3 linked regions of the Caenorhabditis elegans genome follow. The protein of the gene in region 3 interacts with the protein of the main gene of each other region in a pairwise test. Each region holds a gene or a part of one and is shown on either strand. Other genes may lie near its edges. The genes, in order: vbh-1, imb-2 and npp-1.

What was found.
Region 1: the proteins of npp-1 (region 3) and vbh-1 interact in a two-hybrid assay, tested with the Caenorhabditis elegans proteins (one large-scale study listed by BioGRID).
Region 2: the proteins of npp-1 (region 3) and imb-2 interact in a two-hybrid assay, tested with the Caenorhabditis elegans proteins (one large-scale study listed by BioGRID).

The regions. Positions count from the first base shown.
Region 1 is NC_003279.8:3,157,981-3,164,468, forward strand, and holds vbh-1 (RNA helicase), read right to left. Parts: upstream 4,412-6,488; 5' UTR 4,304-4,411; coding exon of another isoform or gene 4,236-4,303; intron 4,190-4,235; coding exon of another isoform or gene 4,156-4,189; coding exon 3,938-4,155; intron 3,810-3,937; coding exon 3,759-3,809; intron 3,723-3,758; coding exon of another isoform or gene 3,714-3,722; coding exon 3,663-3,713; intron 3,617-3,662; coding exon 3,304-3,616; intron 3,236-3,303; coding exon 2,175-3,235; intron 2,128-2,174; coding exon 1,943-2,127; intron 1,888-1,942; coding exon 1,784-1,887; 3' UTR 512-1,783; downstream 1-511. Other genes in the region: mrpl-17 (Large ribosomal subunit protein bL17m), read left to right, coding at 4,836-5,042, 5,104-5,205, 5,258-5,533; Y54E10A.6 (B3/B4 tRNA-binding domain-containing protein), read left to right, coding at 5,712-5,840, 5,977-6,109.
Region 2 is NC_003280.10:14,363,859-14,368,722, forward strand, and holds the start of imb-2 (Importin N-terminal domain-containing protein), read left to right. Parts: upstream 1-1,842; 5' UTR 1,843-1,880; coding exon 1,881-1,916; intron 1,917-1,964; coding exon 1,965-3,356; intron 3,357-3,529; coding exon 3,530-3,863; intron 3,864-3,918; coding exon 3,919-4,251; intron 4,252-4,293; coding exon 4,294-4,509; intron 4,510-4,561; coding exon 4,562-4,812; intron 4,813-4,864. Other genes in the region: tebp-1 (SPK domain-containing protein), read left to right, coding at 1-199, 258-446, 513-758, 808-1,017.
Region 3 is NC_003282.8:9,856,675-9,862,681, reverse strand, and holds npp-1 (Nucleoporin Nup54 alpha-helical domain-containing protein), read right to left. Parts: upstream 4,195-6,007; 5' UTR 4,191-4,194; coding exon 4,093-4,190; intron 4,045-4,092; coding exon 3,941-4,044; intron 3,861-3,940; coding exon 3,756-3,860; exon of another isoform or gene 3,311-3,755; coding exon of another isoform or gene 3,085-3,310; coding exon 2,815-3,084; intron 2,577-2,814; coding exon 2,395-2,576; intron 2,339-2,394; coding exon 2,159-2,338; intron 2,109-2,158; coding exon 1,715-2,108; intron 1,621-1,714; coding exon 1,442-1,620; intron 1,392-1,441; coding exon 1,194-1,391; intron 1,147-1,193; coding exon 937-1,146; 3' UTR 571-936; downstream 1-570. Other genes in the region: K07F5.14 (NUC153 domain-containing protein), read right to left, coding at 11-119, 234-458; K07F5.12 (Transmembrane protein 144 homolog), read right to left, coding at 4,696-4,904, 4,948-5,198, 5,245-5,516.

The sequences.
Region 1 (6,488 bases), on a different chromosome or scaffold from region 3:
TATTTTATCATTAAATATATAATTTTAATTGAAAAAACGAGCAATATTGGTTTCATTTGATGATGAGTCTCCCACAAAAGCATATTTACTCATTTTTCCCCCCTCTTTTGCAGATTTTTAAGGAGAAGACCGGCATTTTTCTATTTGAAAGGCAAGAATTATCAATTTTCATTGATGATAATTGTTTTTAATTCAGGATTTCGACAACAATGGAGAGGGTGAAGACTGCTGATTGTTTTTTTTTTCGAAGTTGAATGACATCGGAAACGAAGGTACATAAACTCCCGGGAATTTAGCCTACAAGTTGCTGGAATCATAATTACAAATTTTCAAATAGAAATGAAAATTTGACTGACATGAGGCAATATTTAATACATTAATTTTTTGGCCTAGGACTAGACTATTAACGACCACGTAGCATTTGACATGTTGTGAAGATAGATAATTTTCTTGCGGTCATTTCTTATATGCAACGAGAGCATCAGCATGCCCGCGTATAAATGTTTTCAAGTACCAGATACCAAGTTTATTCAACTATTTGTCAGGCCACAAGGGCTTTTAAGATTATTCTCAAAGAGCTGAAAGTGAACATTCAAGATGGAAAAAGAAGATAAGAATCTCATAGTGACAGAGATAAGTGCGTGACGAGGGAAAGAGAAAAATGATGGGAGAGGGACGATGAAAATAAAAAAGAAAAATTGTGCATATTGGACAAGAATGCAGTTGGTTGGGGAGAAATTGGCAAATAGAAATTGAAGAGAAAGCGTGGAAACGGACTGCACGTTCAACGGCTTAGACCGGCCTAGAAAATGTTTGGAATTAGCTATTGACGAGACGCATATGATAGTGCAACTTGAGTATTATGAAATGGTTGGTTCTATGATTTTCGTGTATACTGTTTAGAGGGAGAAAAAACAACTAACAATGAATATTACTTGGCTCAAAAAAAACATCAGTTGGAGGGAAAAATGATAGAGATTTGGGGATAGGTGGGGGGAGATCATTATCATAAGAGAGCAACCAAGCTTTTTATACCTAACTCGCAATTATTTAATGATAAACTGACGATCATACTGGCGAACAATTATGAAAATATAATTAGACACCCGCAGCTATACCAAGTTAAGAATTGAATAATTGCAAGACGAATGGTTGGGATCAGATTGGGGAACAAGTAAAAATTAATTAAAAATACACACAATATCACGAATCAACAACGGGCAGCACTATGTAAACGGGTTTCAACAAAGCTTACAAACAACCGATAATAGAGAAAAACCGTGCTGAGTCCCCGACGCGGTAGTGCATCGGATGCCATCCAGCGGCCATAAGAAAAACTACAAAACTACGAGATAAAACTGCATTGATTCTCTCGGGGTATTGTTGATGCAAGAAAACAACACCAAGAGAAACAAAACAATGGTACAAATTGCCAGGCAACAACAACATTTTTGGGGGAAATGGGAGGATACAATAAAATTCAATGTTAAAACCCTAGATCACGCATAGAATCCATTAAAATATTCGTCACTTAAAGCTCTGAGATAAAAAAAATTGAATGATTAAAACACAATTACAGAGAGAATAATATGAAATAAAAGAGAGGAATAAGCCACGCTTTAAAGAAGGAGACAGAATAAAAAAGAGAAGGAGGAAAAAATGATTATTTTAATATGGATGGAACGAGTAAAGGAAAAAAGGAAGACAACTAAATTATAAAAAAAGGAGTATGGTGCGAGACTTTAATGTGGAATTCCGGATTTCCGTTTGTTGCGAATAATGTTTAAGCTTGTGGAGCTTGCCAATGATCAATTGGAGCCTGGCCTGGGTTTGAGTAAAAACCTCCACCGCCACCACCCTGACGGTTCATTCCACTGTTGAAGCCACCTGAAATCAAGGAATTGATTAATTTTGCATTATTTTCTTTATTTTCTCCACAAACCTCTTCTTGGGCCACTGAAGCCGCCACCGCCACCACTATTAGAGGTAGACGACAGAGAGCTATGAGCTCCGAATCCTCCATTCGTGAACGGGCGACGTGGTGCTCCTCCTCCGAACGAACCACCGTAGGCGGGTCCACTTCCGAAACCACCAGTGGCTCCACCGGAATTGTAATTTGAGAAGTTTCTGAAACTATTAGCAATATTAATTTTCAACTGCTCATTTGATCTTACCCTCCGAACGATCCACCACCACCACGACCAACACGATAGTCGGTTGCTCCGAAGCGACGGTTTCCACCACGTTGTCCACCTCCAATGCGTCCTTCTGCAGCAACTTGATGAAGCCATTCTGGGACTTCTTGGTTGGATTCGACAATCAGATTCTTCAAATCACGACCGATTCCTCGATTCTTGTCATTGAAGAAACTGGTGGCAATTCCAAGGTTTCCGCATCTTCCGGTTCTACCGATACGGTGAACATATTCGTCAGAATCTCCAGGAAGATCATAATTGATGACGTGGCGCACATTTGGAATATCCAATCCACGAGCGGCAACAGCAGTTGCGACAAGAATTGGGCACTGTCCAGAGCGGAACAACTCGAGATTTCTCTCACGTTCAATTTGTTTGAGATCTCCGTGAATTGAAACAGAGCGGATCTGCTGACGATTGAGGAAATACGCCAACTCGTTGGCTCCTCTCTTTGTCTCAACGAATACGAGAACCAGATTTTCAGAATGCTCGTTCATCAGAATTTCCATCAGATTGCTTCTCTTTTCCATCTCGTTGACCCAAAGCAGACGTTGTTCAATATTTTCAGACGTTGATCCAACACGACCAACTGCCAAAAAGATATAGTTATCCTTGAGGAAGTCCTTAGCGAGAACTTGAATCTCCTTCGGGAAGGTTGCACTGAACATAGCTGTGGTACGAGCAGTCTTTGGTGGCATTCCTTGGCCAACGATCTTTCTGATTTGCGGCTCAAATCCCATGTCAAGCATACGATCAGCTTCGTCGAGAACCAGGTAACGACATCCGGCGAGTCCAATGAATCCTTGCTCAATAATGTCAATCAAACGACCTGGGGTAGCAATGAGGATATGCGTTCCAGCGCGAAGACGATTCACTTGATCACGATAGTTTTCACGTCCTCCGTAAAGAATAGCCGTCTGGATGTTGCTTTTGTAGCTGAACTTTGTAGCTTCCTTGTGGATTTGAATGGCAAGTTCACGAGTCGGCGAGAGAACCAGAGCACATGGATAGTAAGTGCGACGACCGTTTGTGAACGCTGGCTGCAATTAAAATAGTTTTTTGTATAAATTTTTCGAATTTTGATGGATCGCAGGTTTGCCCTACTTACCGGCTTGACCATATCTGGACCACCAGCCAAAATATGCTGAATAATTGGGAGCAGGAAAGCGGCAGTTTTTCCAGATCCGGTTTGAGCGCAAGACATCAGATCGCGGTTAGCCAAAAGAGTTGGGATCGAGTGTTTCTGGACAGGAGTCGGCTTGGAGTATCCGCTGCGATTCACGTTCTCCATCACAGCCGGCCCAAAACCAGCTTCATTGAAATGCTCGATGGCTGCTGGAACGGAGTCTCCGCTGACTTCTACGGGAATATTTTCGTACTTGTCAAAGTTGATGCCACTGTCGGTACGGTGGAACAAATTGCTGAAATACCATATCGCGTTTAATAATCAGAACATTTTAATCTCACCTTTCGGAATATTCGGCAGGTGCTCCTCCCCATTGATTACTCTCGGCTCCACTGTAACGTCTACTAATAAAAATTGTAATTCAGATTTAAACATACTTGTTGTTGAAACCGTTTCCGCTGTCGGCGAAGTTGTTGTACCCAGACGATCTGCAATTTCAAGATTTGATAAAAGAGAAGCCTCATTTCAGGTTAACAAAAAGCAACAAAGGAAATGAAGAACAAGCATATGGTTAGAGGCAAACACAATCACCAGCACACTATACACCTGTTCTCACCCATTCTCATCGAAGTTTTCAAAGTTTTCTGAGTAGCCCATTTTGAAATGCTGCTGCTGTTGTGGCTGCCCTTGAAAGTAAGGAGAAGGAACAAATCCAGCATGAGGAGCACCCATCATCTGCCCCATCCCTGGGACCATAGGTTGTTGAATTGCATACCCGTTGTTTGACGGAGTTCCGTTGGCGAATCCGTTGTAAAATACGCCTCCTGCAGGCATATTATTGCTCTGTTGAGAATACGAGGATGACCAGCTGAAAAAATGAGGTTGAAATCTTGAAATCCGTTTCGAAATCATACCCTTGTCCCTGTTGTTGTTGTGGCGGCTGTTGTTGACCGTTGTGATTCGCATAATATTGTGTGTTCATTGTAAGACTATATCAAACGGAAACCCGGAATTCGAAAAAGAAAAATCGGCGAATCTAAACCGATTTTGTACCCAATTGACGTCGAGATTACAGAATATGTATCTGAAATTCATTTTATTGGCTTGTTGCGAAACAAATGAAGTTTTAAGACGGAGAAAATGAGTATTTATCATTAATAAACGACGAATTATCATTTTTCGCATAATTTAACTCGAAAATTATGCGAAAAACGATGACAATGGAGAAAATCGACACGAAAAACCGTAGAGAAGAAGCGGAAATGAGAGAAGTGAATTCAGCACGCAATGATGAAGAGACGTTTGTTTTCCCATCGAGACCCGCCGACCGTGTAAATCGGTGCGCCTTTAAAGTGCGTGTGTGAGGAAGCGTGTTTCAACGCAAAAAACGCTCCGAAATTTCGCGAAATAGAATTAAATTTAATTTTTATTAGAATTTCTATTGAAATATATGGGATTTTATTCAATTTTTTGAATTTCCGACTCAAAATTAATAAAAAAAAGATTTCCAGGCAATGTCAGCTCACCGAGTGGCAGTGTCACTGCCAAGAATCGGCGTCACAATTGGTCACGCACCACAAAAGCTGAAAACCGGAGGAATTGAGCCAAGCCGTCGTGCTCGTCTCGAAGTGCTCCGTCGCATCGTCACCCGAACTGTCCGTGAGGAACGCGCCGAGCTGAAATGGAACCGCGCCGTCGAGGCCAGGCCATATTTGGAGAGGGTGAGGGGTTTTTTGTTTGAAAATGAGTGAGAAAATTAAAATTTAAAAAAATAAAATTCAGCTAATTCAATTGGGTGTCGAAAGAGGACCACTTGACGAGTATACAGCCGAAATGATGGAATGGTGGCTGCCTGAGAAGGATTTAATTACGAAAATGCATGAAGTAAATTGATTTAAAAAGATTTTTCGCCAAAAAAAAATCATTTTTTTCCCAGGTAATTGTTCCACGATTCCAAGACCGCGATTCTCCATTCACATCACTATTCCGACTTCCACCACAACGTCTTCAACAATTTATCCAGAATAAGCGAGAAGTCTGGAAGCGATACGATATCGGAGTTCTGGAAATCGACGGAAATCCATTTCCACAAATACAAGCAGACCGCGTAGATCAATCTGAATCAATTCTTGATGTTCTTCTAGCTGACGCCCTTCGGAATCACCAGAAGAATCTTCAGGAAAAGCTGGATACTCCGAAGAAATCTCAATGAATTTTTATTATTTTTTTTGTTTTTGTTTCGCTAGAATCCTAGAATTTTTGTTTCTTTATATATTAAACTTTGAATCATTTTCAATATTTATAACGAATTTTGTGGTTCGATTCAATTATTTATATCTTTATCTAATTTTTTTCCCACTTTTTCACCGAAAAAATTAAAATTCAGAATAATGTTCGAAGAGCAACCGGAGGTAATAGAGGCGATCGAGAATAATCGCTTCGAAATTGTCATCAAAAATGTTCGAATCGATTCGGTCACCGAAGCGGCCAATCTTTCCCAGAAACGGGTTTTCGAGAGTGTAAGGGAATTTTAATTTTTGGAAAATCCGTGAATTTCCGCAAAAAAACGATTTTTTTCTCGGAATTTCAAACAAATTTTTTTTTTGTAAATTTTATAATACTAAATTCCCATCAAAACCCAAAATTTATTTTCAGATGTCCCAATTGAATCTCCTTTCTCTCACTGGATGCTCTCTTCACAATCTTTCGTCTTCGATTAGATCTTGCAGTAATCTAATGCATTTGGTTTTGCCGAAAAATGATTTAAAACAGCTTCCAGACGTTTTTGGTGTGTATTTTGTGGATTTTTTTTTGTTTTTTTAGACGGAAATTAGTCGAAATATACCAAATATAACTGTTAAATAGCATATCTTTTCAATTTCGCAACAAAAAATTTGAATTATTTTGAATGACATGATTTCGAAATTAAATGTTTAATTCCGGCAAATTGCCGGTTTGCCGGAAAAAAATAAAATTTTAAATTCTTGCGAATTGCCGATTTGCCGGAAATTTTCTATTTTTTCAAGTATGCCGATTTGCCGGAAAAAATTAAACTTTGAATTCATGCAAATTGCCGATTTGCCGGAAATTTTCAATTTTAATTTCGCGCAAGTTGCCGGTTTGCCGGAAAATTTTTTAAAATTCCGGCAAATTGCCGGTTTGCCGGA
Region 2 (4,864 bases), on a different chromosome or scaffold from region 3:
AAATCTCGATACATCGGTTGCTTCTAAGAAAGAAGCAATGGACGTCGACGAATTGTCTAACAAAATGACGGATGCTGTGAACAATCTCCAGAAATCTATCACCGAGAGTACAAACGAGACTACCGTTCTCGAAGGTGCAGCTGCTGCTGTGATCTTGCTCTCTGAGTCGCTTCAAAATTTCTCCAGGGTGGGAATGGAGGTAATTTTACACTTGAATTATAATCTTAAAGACTGAATTCAATTGTTTTTTTTTTCAGAAATCGTCCTCCGACGTCTCATCATCATCTGAGCCAGTGTCATCAGCCGAGCCAGCTGCCGCTGCGCTCGTGCCGTCTGAAGCCGGTCAAGGATCTCGAGACGTTTTTACATCACAATCCGACTCAACGATTCCAGAGTCTTCTAGCTTTGATGAGCTGCTTCCAAATTCGTGCAGGGTGAAAATGGAGGTAATTTTAACCTGAATTCACTTGGATGATGATTTTAAAATACTGATTTAAAGTTTTTTTTTTCAGAAGTCATATTCCGACATCCCACGATCAGCTGAGCCAGTGTTCAAGGTTCCTATGATACCAAATCGCCTATCCCACAGCGCCTCCAATGGTTTAAAGCCGGCCGAGATTTCTCCAATTTTGGTGGATTATGATGCTCTGAACTCGCAAGTCGTTCAGCAAGTCTTGGACGATGCCGACGATAAAGATTTGGAATTGATACACGAAGCGTTGGAGAAAGCTTTTGGAAATCAGGAAAATTGGACTGACGTAAGAAAAAAAGAAATAATAGAAATTTTATCGGGTTTTTTTTTTCCAGAAGTCCACAGCGAAGACCGTTACAATCGGCACAATTATCAAGGCGATTGAGACCAAATTCACAGGAATCTCTCGTGAAGTTCTTCTGGAACAGAAGGAATCCATTGTGGAAGAGGTTCTCGGCAACGTCGAGAACGAGAAGGTTCTCGAAGTGCGCACAGAAGCCATCCGGGAAGCGCTCATTGAGGCTGATTTTGGGCCAACCAATTAAATAGATTTTGAAGTTCTGTTTTTTTCTTTTTCCCATTCAATTTCTCTCACAGTTAATGGGCTTCTCTCATTCCTTACCCCTCGCCCTAGTCATAAATAACTGTTTAACATTTTTTTCTATTCTTCTTTTCAATTTTTCTCAACATTTATGGATTTTCCATTCCTTTCCTCTAGTACAATTGTGTTCAATTTGTTGTTCTCTAAATGGATCTCCCGTTCATTACAAAAACTGGTTAAATAACACTTCTCCAAATGAACGTGTTTTATTCATTTTTTATTTGTCAAATAAACATTTTAAGCTTTAAGTTAACTTTTTTAATTTTTTTATTAAATAACTTCGAACACGGGAATTTTTTATATCAAAAGGTGCCTACTACAGTAATCAAAAGTTAAAGGAACATGGCTTACAGGTTACGGGTCTCGCAGCGAAATTCTAGCTTTGAAACATTTGTCATATTTTTTTCCCATGATCATGATAAATACGTTCCCCATATTTGTTACAAAATATAAAACAATTATTTTCAAATTTCCCTTGTGAATGCTGGCGCGTATTCGGTTTGGCGTCTTTTCCGTCCACCCGCAGTGCTCTTTTCTGCCGGCAAAACACAATTTCTCCCCTTCTCAGCAATTCAGAGAACGCGTCCTCATCGATTTTTGCTTCTGGCTGCAGGATTTATCTCCATTTTATTTAAAATATCAATATGGTTGATATTTTGAACACAAATTTCAATTCTGCAGAAATTACTGCATTCTTGACATCAATCCGTAAAATCTTAATTAATTGCTCGTTAAGAAGTTTAAATTTACGATTTTAATGTGTTTCTTTTTTCAGAACAATTTGGAGCTTTATGCCGACGAATCAAAATGGCTTTCCAACCAGACCAACACGAATTAGAGCAGGTGAGCGTCGTTAAAAAATCGATTATTTCGCAAAATCCGAGTTTTCAGGTAATTCAACTCTTACAACACGCTCACTCCACAGACAGAGATGTTCAACGTAATGTTCAAGTGCAATTGGTACAGCTCAATGAGCATCAGAAGTTCTGTTGTTATCTGGTTTACATACTGAGCGACATGAAGGAGATGATTGACGCGACGAGTCGATCGCTGGCCGGCTTGTTGCTTAAAAATAATATTCGAGCAAAATGGAATAAGTATCCGCAGGACGTGAAGTTTTTCGTCAGGACAACATGTTTGAAAAGTATAGGCGATCAAGAGCCACTGATTCGTGCGACAGTAGGTATCATTGTCACGACTATCGTTATGGAGGAGAATATGTGCGATTGGCCGGACCTTCTAGACACTCTGGCCACAGTTCTGATGCAACCCGACGAGCTGATGCAAGAAGGCGCTCTTGGAGCACTTCAGAAGGTTTTCGAAGACTCGGCGGATCGGTATGAGTCGGAATTTCTTCGGCCAATCATGCCGAAGCTTCTTGTTTTCTATGAGCATCATGCTGCGAAGATGCGGGCTCTTGCAATGAATTGTGTGAATTGCATTCTAATGGTTAATAATGATCCAATTGATTTTGCAATAGATCAATTTCTTACTTCGCTTTTCGCTCGCCACAATGACAATGATGAGGAGGTGCAAAAACAGTTATGTAGATCGCTGACGCTTCTGCTGGACACACACATCGAGAAAATGATGCCTCATTTGCCGAATGTCATAGAATATATTATTAAGAAGACTCAAGATCACAACGAGTCGATTGCCTTAGAGGCCTGCGAGTTTTGGCTTTCAATTGCTGAGAATAGTGATATTTGCCGAACAATGGTGCTTCCACATCTCGATAAGCTCATACCAGTTCTGCTTGGCTCCATGCGATATTCTGAGACAGATCCTGCGTTGAAAGCTAATGATGAAGATAGTTCGGTTCCTGATAGAGAGGAGGATATCAAGCCTAGGTTTCATAAGTCGAAGCAGCATGGTCTTGGTGGCCTTGTGGAGTCGGATGATGAGGAAGACGAGGACGATGATGACGATGGTGGTGGCGACTGGAATATCAGAAGGTGTTCAGCAGCATCTTTAGATGTTCTGGCTTCTATTTTTGGAAAGGATCTGTTGGATAAGCTCTTCCCCCTCCTCAAGGACACATTGATGAATGACAACTGGCTGGTCAAAGAGTCTGGAATACTTGCGCTCGGGGCAATCGCGGAGGGATGCATGGACGGCGTTGTGCCACACCTTGGCGAGCTCATACCATTCATGCTGGCTATGATGTTTGACAAGAAGCCACTCGTTCGATCGATCACGTGCTGGACGCTGTCCAGATATAGTTCGCATATTGCATCCGACGAGAACTTCAGGCAACAGTTTTTCAAGGATGTGCTCGCCAATGTGAGAATTTAGAATATATAAAAAACCTCGTAGTGCTTCAAAAAAAGTTTAAAAAAAAACTAGACTTAATTTGCAAAATTGTTTTAAAAGATTTAAAATGGGGTACTCTTTCAGTTAAATTCTAGTTGAACGCAAGTAATGTACTAAATTGAGAAAAACAAATTAATTTTCAGCTTCTCCGCTGTTCGCTCGACGGAAACAAGAAAGTTCAAGAAGCTGCATGCTCTGCGTTCGCAACTCTCGAAGAAGAAGCTGGCGAGCAGCTCATTCCATTCCTTGGCGAGATCCTCGATCAACTGGTCAAGGCGTTCCAGTGCTATCAGGCAAAGAATCTTCTGATTTTGTACGATGCCATCGGAACACTAGCGAATTCTGTGGGCGACGCGTTAAGTCATCCGGTTTATGTGCAAATGCTCATGCCGCCGTTGATGGAGAAGTGGGAGCGGTTGAGTGACGAGGACAAGGAGTTGTTCCCACTTTTGGAATGTATTTCTGCAATTGTTTCAGGTTGGTAAAAGAAATAACTAATTATAAGATAGTTTCGACTTCATACTTTTTACAGCAATGGGACAATCCTTCCTTCCATACATTCAACCGGTATTCACAAGGTGCTGTAGTCTCATCGAAAAGTGTGTTCAACAAAACCAACAACACATTATGGCTCCGGATCAAGTAGAAGCTCCCGAAACGGACTTTATCATTGTGGCGCTTGATCTCCTCTCGGGACTCGCTGAGTCGTTACCGGAACATATGGATCCCTTGGTGGCAAACAGCAAGCTGGTCGAGTTGATGTTGTTCTGCTCGTTAGATGTGACGCCAGACGTCAGACAATCGTGCTTCGCGTTACTCGGAGATTTGACGAAAGCGTGTCCAGAACGAGTGCTCCCACAGAGTAGTAAGTAGCTCCCGCGTCTACAGATTTGATAAACATTTTCAGAAATCTTACAATTTGCAGGCAATTTCATATTTTTTCTCGCCCAAAACCTGGATCCCTCCAAGATCAGTGTGTGCAACAATGCGATTTGGGCGCTCGGAGAGTTGGCGCTGAAAATGGGTCCCGCAATGAAACAGTTCATCGGGCCCATCATTGAACCTCTGATTGTTGTCATCAATAGCCAGCAGAATATGCAGCGGACGTTGTTGGAGAATACTGGTGAATATCTAAAAATAGTAAAAGCTTGGAAACTAGGTATTTAAATTTACAGCCATCACAATCGGCCGTCTCGGACAATGTTGCGGTGAAGAGCTGGCTCCCCATATCAGCCGATTCGTTCGCCCTTGCTGCTACTCACTTCGAAATATTAAGGATAACGCGGAAAAAGAGAGCGCGTTCATCGGTTTATGCAATATGATCAACATGAATCCCGTCGGAGTTCTCAATGATTTCATCTTTTGGTGTGACGCTATCGCTTCGTGGACAGTACCGACCGACTCACTTCGGGTTCTTTTTGCCGGGGTATTTGAAGATTTTCGATTTTTTTCTGACAAAATCGAAAAAATGTCGATAT
Region 3 (6,007 bases):
TAGACAATACCTTTAGGACCAGAGTGTCTATTTTTGATTTCAAAATCTTCCTCCTCATCTTTATCGTTTTCATCTTCAGAATCGAAGAGTTTTGGACGTTTTGAACTGCGCGAGGTTTTCTGAATTATTCCAACTTAGTTTACGAGTATTGTCTTTACAGCAAACAACTTTATGAAATCGGGCAATTGCTGTTATAAGAGATTTTTATCTCAAAAAATTGAAAAACTTCCAACCTTTTCACCATTCGCGGCTGTTTTTTCTGTTTCTTCATCCTGATCATCCCCATCATCCGAATCTTCAAATACAATGCGTTTTGTCGTTTTTTTGTCAACATTAGCAATGTCAGCAGCAATTTGACGATCTCTTTCTCTCTGATCTTGAATTTTTTGCCTCATCGCGGCTCGACGAGCTTCATCTGAACGTTGACGTCTCTTTTCATCATTGTCTTCATCGTCCATTTTCTGAGATACATTTTGCAATAGTTTTTATGTGATTCTAATTATTTGAAAATCGCAGAAATTCGAACGGGAGACAACCGTTATTTGACAAAACTCAAACAGAAAAATGGAGATCAAATTTATTCTAGATAGAAGTTTGAGATGAATTAATTCAATCTATTAAACAGTGTGTGAAATAAGACAATTAACAATTTGAGGAGGTCAGATCAACAGTTACAACCAAGAATGAGGCATATTTTATGAAAAAATGTACTCGTGATGACAGGCGAACATAGAAAAAAGCGAGCTTTTTTGCTCAATATGTATAAGTTTTAAAAACAATTTTCTGCCACACATCTTAGGTCGAAACAGAAATAACCAGAAACCTGTCAGAGTTTGAAAGAAAATAATGATGATACAAAAGAAATGAGCGAATTTTTAAATTAATACGAGAAAATCTGAAAAAAAGATTTTCAGAAAATCTTTTCTAAAAAATAAATTATCCTTCTAGAGCCCTTCTACAAGCTTCAAGACTTTCGATTTGTTGATGTGTTGACTCGTAAAGGCCAGAGCAAATATTAACAAATTTGGTAAGCACTCTACGAGCATAGTGTTCATCTTCAATTGTCATATCAAACATTTTCCACATTGATTCTTGAAGTTTATCCGGTTTTGATTCCAAAATCTCGTAGAATTTGTCGACATAAAACTGAAATTAATTGTTTTATACAAAATTAAATCATAATTTTTTCTCACCTTCACTTGATTATGACGATTCATTTGGGCAAGAAGTGTATCAGCTTTAGCTTCAATTACATCCTCATCAGTGTCAATTTGACGTGAATATCTTGATACAATCCATTGTGCAAGCATAACACGAACAATTCTGTACGAGAGAGTTTTATGGCGATTACGAATAATCTCCATCTTAACAACTGCATCTGCATGTTCATGCTGAAATATGTATGACATTTGTAAACTTTCATCAAGTTATAACAACTTACATTAGCTTCTTCAACACGATTTCCCAATGCATTAATTGCCTCGTGGAATAGTTTCGACTCGCCAACTTGAGCCTTCTGTCTGTCTCTTAATGCTTCCCATCCACGTACTGGAACAGGAAGAAGTTTGTTTGGAGCTGGGTTTTCTTTGATTGCTTGTCTCCAAATACGCTCATCGATTCCTGAAATGAATGAAATTTGATACAATGCGAGGGAGGAAAACGAAAATCTTTGTTAATAAATGATAAACATAGTAAAAATAACGAGTAAACTAACCATCAGGAACTGTCTCCAAATATCTATCTCTTTGTGCTTTCGACATTCCAACTTTAGGAAGAACCCTTGTTTTATCCACTTGCAACTGCGATTCTAATTGGGTCATTTTTGGAGCATCATTGAGGATTTGAGCAAGTTTAATAGCTCCTGCAACAAATCCGCCTTCTTTGGCGATAATACAGATTTCTGTGCATCCATCAGAAAGTGTTCTCATCGAAGTACCAGGAGCATATCGAACTTCTACATTTGGTCCGCCACCAAGAATAGCTTTGATAATTTCAAGAATTTTGTCACGGCGTTCTTCTGTGTTCAAGTTTGTAATAGGATGACGCAGCACCAAAGTTACAAATCCCTCATCGTCGGTTCGCTCCGAAATACGATTGTATCCGATTCCCTGAAACGTGACACTGTGCAAGTTTTCAGTGATTTATAAAATAAACTTACAACAAATCGTTCAAACAAGTTTCCTTCCATTGAAAACGATAGAAGCTGATTTCCATCTTTGTATGGAGCTTTTCCGACACCCAAACCGGCAGCAACTTGATTCAACTTAGCAACAACTCCATCATTATCATTTCCAAAGAGCTTTGGATCTCCGACAGCTTTCACAAATGGGTGATACTGCTGAAAAAATTTTATTTGGAAAAGCGCTCAGATATTCTTAAGATTCATTTAATTACCTGAATAACTTGTTGCTGCTGAACAACAGGCTGTTGTTGTTGTTGAGTTGCTCCAAGACCACCAAGAGTAGACCCTGAGCTGGAACCAAAAAATCCGCCTGTAGCTGGCTTTGCAGTACTCGATCCAAAAAGCGTTGATCCCGCGGCTGTTCCAGTCGACGCTGCTCCGAATGGGGTCGATCCTGAAAATTGAGCCATCAAAATTATCAAAGTTCGTTAATTAGACAATTATATTCCAGATTCACGATAAAATACTTGAAGCAATGTTTTAAAGCTAATTAGACATATCTAAATTAATTATTTTTAAGATTTAATATTAGGTTTAGTTTTTTTTTTTTTTATTCGGTTTTTGATCTGACCCACCAAGTCTACTCAATTCTAGAAATATGAAAAGCTAATACAAAGTTGATGAATACCAACCTCCAAATGTTGAGTAGGGAGGACGATAAGCTGCTGGAGCCACATTCAAGTTGTTTGCCGGTGATAGAAAAGATGACTGTGGGGCATTAGTTCCTGGTAACGCAGATGGTGTGGCAAAAGATGTTGGAGTATTACCAGAAAGACTACCAGCCCCCAAAGTTCCTGATTTGAATGCTGCCAATCTTGTGGCAACGGGTGATTTGGCAGTTTGTTGTGTGGATCCAATACCGCCGAGACCTCCAGATGTCGTTGATGATGTTCCGAAGAGTCCTGAAGTTCCAGAAGTGGTTCCAGATGCCGGAGAATTTGTGAAAAGCGTGCGGTTAGCGTCATTGGGTGCTCCAAACAAATTGCGACGGGCTGGTGAACTAACATTCTGGGTTGCTGGGGCTGGAGCTTGAGATGCTGATGTCGTAGGTAAATCGGGAAGATTTGGAAGATTCTTCGGCATGTCTTCTGCTTTGATTCCGGTGATGCCCCCACGTCGGGCAAACATTTCTGCAGACGCTCGAGACGAAGAAAACGAGTAGCAAAGAGCAACACGGGTGATAGAAGAACAGGCAAAGAAATCCGCACGACACCGACCACGACAGAGAAAAGTGAAGGTAACGAACACAATGACGACGAGAGAAGTAGAGCGATAGGAGAGAAATAACAATTTTGAATAAAAATTAAGCGCAAATCACAGAAGTAGAACCTTGGTAGGTCAAATAATTTGTCAGATCAAAAAATATATTGAGTCTATTTTCTTTTTTCATTCATTTGTTGCTGGAATTTAGAATATAATTTTTTGGTCCAAAATGTATTACTTCGATCAATATGATTTATCGATTTCCCCTCCTTATCATTGTCTAGCTTTTCTCTCAACGAGACCACACAACAGCTAATAGTATAAACTAAGTAGAAGTGACCGAAAATATCGATAATTTTGAGTAGCTTACCGGTTGTAGAAGCACCGAAAAGACTTGGAGTAGCTGTTGAAGTGGTTGGAGCAGCACCAAACAAAGTTCCAGCAGTTGAAGTGGTAGTAGTTGAAGTGCCTGTCTCTGAAATTTAATATATTTCGGTTTAAAATGCAACTTTGATTACGAAGTAAGTTGTGTAAAAGTAAAAATATCAAACTTACTTCCAAACAATCCTCCAGAAGGAGTAGAGGTATTTGTTGTTCCAAAAAGCGAAGGCGTTGATGAAGCCTGAGCAGTTGAACCGAACAGAGGCTTTGATGGCGTTCTGAAAATAATATTTTTGTATAAAAATAATACTTCTTAAAATACTAACGTGCTTCCAAACAAAGTTCCAGACGATGTTGTTGGAGCATTCGGCGTTGGAAACGTAAATGCCTGTTTTTGGGGAGTAGATGACCCGAAAAGTGACATTTCGCTGAAAACAAACGATTTTTAAGAGAAATGGGGCTTGTGAGAAGAAAAAGAACACATATGTAGTTAATGCGAGAATTCTAGAATGAAAATAATAATATAAATAAGACAATGAGCCGAATTAAATCGATTTTTGGGGACGCTTTGGCGTGCAAATTTTTTCGAATTTTGTCTGTGTACGAAGGGGCGCGTTTGCTGGCACCCTCCTCGAAGATGAAAGAATACATATTCCGAAGAACATTCAACCGTGAAAAGAAATGCATGTTTCAGGTATTCAGTTACTTCGTATTTTGCGAAAATTTGATAACTCATTTTAATCAAGAATTCTTAAATTGAATTTCGATATAAAAGATATCAATAGTAACTTCTTTAGATTTCCAGTTGTTTTGTTGAAAAATTTTTTTTTTAAACCAAACGATCGTTTAAACGATACGAATAATACTTTATTTCAAATATAATACAACATTTTGAGATGAGATCAATAAATCGTTCGGTTCTGTTCTAATTAAATCTGATTAGACAAAGCAATCATAATCACCGAAATGACACCAATAACAGAAGAAATTGCCAACGTAGCATATGATCGGGTTCCTTGAATACTCTTGAATACAAATACATCAAGAGCTCCACTAATTAACGGTGGAAGACGGGCGGTACATGGATAGGCAACAACTTGAGATAATTTATCACTGGAGACAAACCAAAGTGTCATTCCTGAAGAACTAAACATTTGAACAATCGACCACGCATCTCTTACCTGTAGTCCATAAAATACCGTACCCAATCGATGGAATTATCAAATTCCTTTCCACGTAGGCTTTTCGACGCAAAATTACACAATACGCGAAGAAATACAGTGTAGAGAAGAGGAATACTGATGTGTAGAATGGGAAAATATAGTCAAACACTTGGAAACTATCAGTTGGTGGATTCTGTTGCTTCAAATATTCAATCGGTGACATCATCAAACCATGTAGACACGCAAGAACCATTGCCATAAGGATATAACTGAAAATTCGTTTTTTTTTTAAATTTCTAAGCATGCCCAACGAACGGTAATTTCTTTGCCAAACCAGCCATATCAAATGAAGAATCTCTTTCTGAATTGCTGAGTCTTTGCTCAATCTCTTCTTGATGTTCCATTTCCTTGCTGGTCACATCATATTCATTTTCTGGCTCCGTTTCCACGTGTTTCACGAATATCAAAAGAACTCCACTCACGATTGTCAATGCAATTCCAATATAGTTCAACACATCATTTTTCACATTCTGCGGGGCAATCCATTGGAACAGCCCGAATCTTGCCACTCCCCATCCGACAATAATCTTAAAGAAGAGTTTCAGAGTAGTTTCAGAGTAGTAGTAGTAGTTTCAGTATGTTTCAGAGTAAGCTTTCCGCGTAGACACAAAACGCCTGCCTGCATTTTGAGGCAATCTGCGTCTTCCCGCCAAAATTCCGAAAATAACGAGGTAGACGGTATGGGCGCAATTGCTGGAAATTTTGAAAACCAAAAAAATTGTATCACATTTCCAAAACCTCTGATAGTATTCAATTGAAATTCATGCCACAAATAAGTATTCAAGAAATAATTTTAGATTAAAATTATTTTGAAAAACCTTTTTTTTGAGACCCGAAGAACTCGTGGGATGTCCAACTGGGGGGATTACCAACTCGGGGGATTGGCCCCGCCCACAGAACCGTGGCTTGCAATACGCCCATTTCTGCAACTGCCGCACGGTTTTAAAACTGTATTTTTCTCAATAGAGCGAGAATTAACAAGAAAAAATAATTTTAGTTGCAAAAATTCAGTTGCAAA